2 linked regions of the Oryctolagus cuniculus genome follow. The protein of the gene in region 1 purifies or fractionates together with the protein of each later gene. This does not show direct contact. Links are inferred from orthologs where the notes say so. Each region holds a gene or a part of one and is shown on either strand. Other genes may lie near its edges.

What was found. Proteins that work in one complex are often made in the same cells at the same time.
Region 2: the proteins of MOS (region 1) and FKBP5 purify together in Homo sapiens (affinity purification with mass spectrometry; 3 studies listed by BioGRID and IntAct, counting the BioPlex papers as one, with this or other methods). This does not show direct contact. The link is inferred for Oryctolagus cuniculus from reciprocal best matches to the Homo sapiens genes MOS and FKBP5.

Annotation. Positions count from the first base shown.
Region 1 is NC_091437.1:81,358,012-81,361,812, reverse strand, and holds MOS (proto-oncogene serine/threonine-protein kinase mos), read left to right. Parts: upstream 1-1,564; coding exon 1,565-2,611; 3' UTR 2,612-2,616; downstream 2,617-3,801.
Region 2 is NC_091436.1:133,897,801-133,901,396, reverse strand, and holds part of FKBP5 (peptidyl-prolyl cis-trans isomerase FKBP5), read right to left. Parts: intron 2,018-3,596; coding exon 1,778-2,017; intron 842-1,777; coding exon 734-841; 3' UTR 1-733. UniProt on the Homo sapiens protein: Immunophilin protein with PPIase and co-chaperone activities. Component of unligated steroid receptors heterocomplexes through interaction with heat-shock protein 90 (HSP90).

The DNA.
Region 1 (3,801 bases):
GAGAGGCAGAGGCAGAGGCAGAGAGAGGTCCTCCATCCAGTGGTTCACTCCCCAAATGGCCATGTCAATCGGAAGCCGGAGCCAGGAGCCTCCTCCAGGTCTCCTATGAAGGTGCAGGGGCCCAAGGACTTGGGCCAACCTTTATTGCTTTCCCAAGCCATAGCAGAGAGCTGGTTCGGAAGAGGAGCAGCTGGGACTCGAACCTGTGTCCATATGGGATGTTGGCAAAGCAGGTGGTGGCTTTACCCACTACGCCACAGTGCCAGCCCTCCTAGTTTCCTACATGAAAATATTGAGGCTCAAACAGGTTAACTATTATACACAGGATTGCATGCTAAGCCACACAGGGAGCATAGAATGGAAATCCTTTTTCTTTTCTAGGACCCCACAGACATCAAATTGCTTATGTCAGTGGTTTGTATTTACTTACTTCTCAGAACCAGTATACTTCAGAAGCATATAACTGTCATTAAAATGTGTTTCTGAGTCACCTATGTGTTTATTGATGCTTTAAAATATGGAAACGTTACCATTCGAGTATTTACAAATGTAGATGCTACATTATTAGGTGTCTTCAACAAATGGGGTAATATCGTTCTTTTTTTCCAAAGATGTGAATGTTAATTTGTGTTATAAGAACCAGAAAGAAAGAATTCATGGTTTCTTGTGCCATTTTTATTTTTTCAGATTTTTCCACTTCTATAATTCCCCCATCTCTGTGATTATTTAAAGCTCTGACCATGGCTCAGAATCACTTTTGCTTTTCCCTCTCCCCTAATTCCGCTTCAGTACTTCAGCTCATTTGCTGCCGAGTCTTATGTGTGAGTTTGCCAGGTGAATCCAATTGCTGTGGAAAGGAAGGATGGTTAGGAAGTCAATGTGACGTTAAGGAGTCTTGCTAATCTGCTGTGTAAGCTGAATGGAGAGACAGAGAATTCTTTTCCTTGATGAATCGAGGAGGTACGTGTTTTGACCTCTGTGTGTTTCTATTTGGAGTGATTCCTTTAAGGTTGCAATTTAGTTAGCTACATGAATGTTGCACCTAATTATCTCTGAAACAGGTTAAACAAACCTCTGCTGTTCCTTGCTCAACTCTTGCAGCCAATAACTGCTGGAAGTGATTTAATGCAGCTGGAGAGTAACCCTCACAATCATTATAGCCTGCAAAGTGTGAAACAATTACATCGTATTTTTGTGATCTCTTTGGTCCAAGAACGTGCATTGGACCAGAGTTGAAAAAAAAAAAAAAAGCCTCTTCCTATGAAAGATCGCTGTGTAAGTAGGGTGAGTTTTGGGACAAACTAGTGCTGTTTATCCGAGGAGAGCTTATTTTGACGAGAATTCACTTTAAGTGTGGAAGGAAAAACTCTCTGCCTGCCCGGCATCTGATAGACCCTTGCTGAGCGAGAAGCGCAGATGTAGCTCATTTGGAGAAGACGAAGGAAGAGGAGAAAAAGGAATGGGGTGGTGTGAAGGAGTGGTCCTTCATGTTTCCGAACTCCTGCGGTTTTTCCTGATCTTTACACTCACCTTGGCCTGGGGCTCTCTTTAGGGAGCGCGTACCATGCCCTCGCCTCTCGTCCTGCGCCGCTGCCTTGCTGCCAGCGAGTTGTCCCCGTCGGTGGACTCGCGGCCGTGCAGCAGTCCTTCGGAGCTCCCCGGGAAGACGGGGAAGCTCTTCCTGGGGGCCACTCCTCCTCGGGCCCCTCGGCTGCCTCGCCGTCTGGCCTGGTGCTCCATCGACTGGGAGCAGGTGTGCTTGCTACGGAGGTTGGGAGCCGGAGGGTTTGGCTCTGTGTACAAGGCGACTTACCGTGGCGTCCCTGTGGCCATAAAGCAAGTGAACAGGTGCACCAAGAACCTACGAGCATCCCAGCGGAGTTTCTGGGCTGAGCTGAACATTGCAAGGCTACGCCATGACAACATCGTGCGAGTGGTGGCTGCCAGCACGCGCACGCCCGCAGGCTCTAACAGCCTAGGGACCATCATCATGGAGTTTGGCGGCGACGTCACATTGCACCAAGTCATCTACGGGGCTCCTGGCCTGGCTGCGGAGGAGTCGGAGGCGCCCCACCATGGCACTGGGGAGCAGTTAAGTTTGGGCAAGTGTCTGCAGTACTCCCTAGATGTCGTCAACGGTCTGCTTTTCCTTCACTCACAAAGCATTGTGCACCTGGACCTGAAGCCCGCGAACATTTTGATCAGCGAGCGAGATGTCTGTAAGATTGGTGATTTCGGTTGTTCGGAGAGGCTGGAAGATCAGAGGTGCTGTCCCCCTTACCACCTGGGAGGCACATACACGCACAGAGCCCCCGAGATCCTGAAAGGAGAGGCTGCCACGCCCAAGGCCGACATCTACTCTTTTGCCATCACGCTCTGGCAGATGGCCACCAAGGAGGTGCCCTACTCCGGGGAGCGTCAGTACGTGCTGTACGCAGTGGTGGCCTACAACCTCCGCCCGTCTCTCTGTGCGGCTGTCTTCAGGGACACTGTGCCCGGACAAAGGCTTGGGGACATCATTGAGAGCGGCTGGAGGGCCAGTGCTTTGCAGAGGCCCAGTGCGGACCGCCTGCTGGTGGACCTTAAATCCTTAACCACGGAGTTCACCTGACTCCCGACCCGTTTCAAGATAAGCTTTTGTCTTTATTTCTATCTACTTTTAAGGAAGTGGAGATGTAGAAGAAAACATATTCGTAGCATGGATTTTTTAAAAAAAAAAAATAAAGTTACTGCAAACTTGAGTCTCAAATGCCTTTTCTTTGACAAATGGCAAAAGCTACGTGTTTAGTGTTGTTGCTAACTTACCTCATACTTTATATAGTTTTCTCTCCATAGGTCCAGTGCTTATTTGAACTATTCCATATGTTCAAATTTGTTGATAAATAACATATATATTCCATATATTCAAATTTGTTATTGATAAAAATATTTTGTCTAAAACAGGATTCCATTGCAGAAATGCTACAATTTTCTGAAATTCACACCATATGGTCCATCTCTACCACCTACATCCAAACTATTAACAGATCACTTACAAATCAGGTTATATACCAGATCAGTAAAATATTTTTTTAAATGCTTTCTTTCTTAAATTCGAGGGATTGGGAGGATGAAAAAAGAGAGCGAGAGAGAATGCTCCCATCTGTTGATTCACTCCCCCCAAATGCCTGCACAAGGTAGTTGGGAGCTGGGAACTCAGTCCGGGCCTCCCAGTTACGTAAGTCATCTGCCTCCCAGGCTCTGCATTAGCGGAAAGCCAGAGTTGGGACCTGGGCTGGGAGTCTGAGCCAGATATGTGATGTGGGATTCAGGCATGTTACCTGGAGTCTTCACTGCTTCAGTAAATGCCCGCCCCAGTTAAAAGCTGTAAAAAAATTAATTTGTTCCTATTCCTCTCGAGAATGTATTTGTAATGACCTTCACACATAAAATCCACAGACTGAGGTAAAATTAGAACTTGTACATTGGAGCCGGCGCCGTGGCTCAATAGGCTAATCCTCCACCTTGCGGCGCCGGCACACCGGGTTCTAGTCCCGGTTGGGGCGCCGGATTCTGTCCCGGTTGCCCCTCTTCCAGGCCAGCTCTCTGCTATGGCCAGGGAGTGCAGTGGAGGATGGCCCAGGTGCTTGGGCCCTGCACCCCATGGGAGACCAGGAAAAGCACCTGGCTCCTGGCTCCTGCCAGGATCAGCGCGGTGCGCCGGCTGCAGCGGCGGCCATTGGAGGGTGAACCAACGGCAAAGGAAGACCTTTCTCTCTCTGTCTCTCTCTCTCACTGTCCACTCTGCCTGTCAAAAAAAAA
Region 2 (3,596 bases), on another chromosome or scaffold:
AGCAAAAGCATGGTTCTGATGGCCTCTTGGCCTGCCAGAACCCCGCCCCAACAGGGCAGGCTGCTCCCGAAACTCCTCGTCGTGGCTGAAGGGTGGCTTGGAAGGACAGAATTAACCCCGGAGGACAGGCGGCTGAGGAGCAGGTGGGGCAGGTGGCTAAGCCTGCAGCAAGCGAGCGGCCTCCACCCTGGCTTTCAAGTCTGTGGCGCACTGTGGGCGGTGGGGAGCTGGGGACCTGCGGGGTGCACGTGCGACAGCCGTGTCCAGGGCACTTCAGTCATTTAGGAAACCAGACCCCCTCCCCCGACGGGGAGGAAGGGAGAAATTCAGTGAGTGAGTGTTTTTAAAAGGTCTCCGCAGTGCTAGTAGAGTTCAGATGTAAAACCGAACAGACAGCTCCAAATGGTTAGGATTATCACAAGGGGACCTTACGTGGGGTACGCAGAACTGACATCCACTGAAATGAACTGGACTTAAGCTGCTGGCTCAGTCTCCGCCCCAGTGGGCACTGCTGTTCTGTCCACCTGGAGTGGTCCCACACCACCCTCTCCAGGGGCCCACTGGGCAGCAGCAGGGTGGCTGTTTCTTGGGAAGCTACCGGTTTTCCATACGCTTCCGAATCACAAAGACTAGAGCAAAAGTTTACATTAAACACTGTTTAGTCCTGAGTTGGGTGAAAGCCCACGAGGAGGGGCCGAGTTCGGGGGGACTCTGGTCCCTCCGTGGCGTGGCGTCATACGTGGCCTGCAGGCTTCTCTTCTTCCATCGCTTGGCTTTCGGTGCGTTTTTCGCCGGGGACCCCTTGCGACGTCTTCTTGCCCATTGCTTTACTGGCCTCTTCCTGAGGAAGAAGTCAGAGGTCAAGAGGGTTAGAGCCAAAGGAAGGGAGATGGGCTCTCACCAGGCCCAAGGCCAGAGTGCACAGCGCTGACCTGACAGGGCCGCCCCGTAGGGAGGTCAGGGCTGTGCTCCCCACGGCTACCCGGGGGCGGGGGGCGTGCTCTTCTTGGGCTAGCCCGCAGCCCACCCTGGACGGGCTCGGTTCAATATCCGCCTGGAGCTCCCGACTCCAGCTTCCTGCGAATGCAGAACCTGGGAGGCAGCGGTGATGAGTCAAGGGATTGGGTCCCTGCTGCCCAGCTGGGAGACCCTGAACTGAGTTCCCAGCCCTGGCCCTTGTGGACAGCTGGGGAGTGAACTAGCAGATGGACGGGCGTGTGCACTAAGATGACAGAAATGTAAAAAGTAAGCTTATTGACGTGACTAGCCTGCCAACTGGGACCACTGCTGGGCACTTAAGTCCATGAGCCAGTGGGGGTTCCAGAGTGGAGGACGCACTCAGGGGAAGGGGCCCGAGGCCCCTGCAGACACCCGTCTCCTGTCACGCTCGCCCACCAGGGAAGAGGCATGGCAAGGCTCCTGTAACCCTTCCCCAAGTCTCAACAAGGAAGCAGTATCATTTGAGGGAAAAAAAAAAACCTGATGGGTTAATGACTTTGTAAACAGCATATGCTTTAGTGCATCTCCAGGGAAGGTGTGTCCTCTGCGTGCTGTGTGGACGGGGCAGGGCCTCCCAACCGATGTGGCGCCACCTCAGCCTCCGGCTGCAAACCAGTTTTGGGTCACCACGATGGAAGTGATCTTCCCTACTCCTGGGCCTCTCGCGCCGCTGTCTACCTGTCTCTGTCTCCTACCCTTAACCTTCCAGGGGCACCAATCGAGGGGGCGAGGCCTGTCCTGCATGTGCCCTGAGGCAGGCAGCGGGGCCTGCACGCACCTTGGCATCCTGCTCGGCAAACTTGGTGAACATGTTGGCGTAGATCCTGCGGTCCCGCTCGTTGTGCTCCTTGGCCTTGCGCTGGCAGGTGGAGATCTGCAGTCGTGCGGCCTTGTTCTGGGGGTTGACTTCCAGCACTTTCTCAAAGTCCCCCTTGGCTGACTCAAACTCATTCATGAGTAGCTGGGCCTCACCCCTCCTGTACAGGCCTTTCTCATTGGCACTGTCCAGTCCCAGGGCCTAGGAACAAAAACAAAACAAAACAAAACAAAACAAACAAACAAACAAAACAAACAAAGCTGAAGGTAATCCTTCTCATTTGTAGGAATTTCAACAAGGAATTCTGTAGTTAAACAGCGTACTGAAGCTCTCTGGCCGAGGGAATTGGGAAAAGCAATTGGAAAAATGGGCTCAAGGGACCGGCGTTTTGGTGCAGTGGGTTAAAGCCCCAGCCTGCAGTGTCAGCATCCCACATGGGCACTGGTTTGAGTCTCAGCTGCTGGACTGCCTGCTTGGGAAAGCAATGGAGGATGGCCCAAGTCTTTGGGCCCCTGCACCCACATGGGAGACTTGGAAGAAGCTCCTGGCTTCGAATCAGCTCAGCTCTGGCTATTGTGGCCATTTGGGGAATGAGCCAGTGAATGGAAGATCTGTCTCTACCTCTCTCTGTAACTTTGTTTTCCAGTAAACAAAATAAATATCTATATTAAAAAAAGAAAAAATGGGCGCAAGATAACTGTATACTACTGATCAAAAAATACTACTGTAGTTACTTTCTGCATTGAATGCAATTTTTAGAAAATTCCCAAGCATATTTGGGGAAAAAAAGAAAACGAAAATAATATGAGAGGCCAGCGCTATGGCGTAGCAGGTAAAGCTGCCGCCTGCAGTGCCGGCCTCTCATGCCACAGGTGCCAGTTTGAGTCCTGGCTGCTCCTCTTCCGATCCAGCTCCCTGCTATGGGCTGAGATAGCAGTGGAAGATGCCCAGGTCCTTGGGCCCCTGCACCCGCGTAGGAGACCTGGAAGAAGCTCCTGGCTTCAGATCGGTGCAGCTCCGGCTGTGGCAGCCATTTGGGGAGTGAACCAGAGGATGGAAGAACTCTCTCTCTCTCTCTCTGCCTCTCTGTAACTCTTTCAAATAAATAAATAAATAAATAAATCTTCAAACAAACAAAACACGAGGGAGTTCTCCTCCCAGAGGAAAGAAACAGAGTGGAAGGACTGAAACTGAAACCGCGGGATGCGGATGTGAACAGAAACCCTGAGGTGGGGACTGCGGATGGTGTGAACCCCGGGGAGAGGCTGAGCTCTGTGCAGAGCGGGGCCAGGCAGTGGCTGCCAGGGCAGGAAGTCATAGTTAAAATTCTGACCGCACATCATAAACAAGAATTAATTCTAGACCAACTATATTAACTTGTTCAAAAATAAAACTATAGAAATATAGCAGAGTTAATTTTTTAAATTTAAATTTAAATTTTATTTGAAAGAGAGACATAGAGAGCAACAGAGACAAAGAGATTATCAACCTCCTGGTTCACTCCCCAAACACCCACAACAGCCAGGGCTAGGTCAGACAAAGCCAGGAGCTGGGAACTCAGTCCGGGTCTTCTATGTCGGAGGCAGGAACCCAAGTACTTGGGCCACCACCTGCTGCCTCCCAGGAGACTAGATTAGACGCAGAGTTGCCAGGGTTCACACCAGGCACCCTGACAGGGGATGTGGGTGTCCCAAGCGGTGACTTAACTACTGTGCCAAATGCCCATAGCAAGGTCATTTTTATAAATTAGAGTAGGGAAGACCTTTCCAACTAGAAAGGA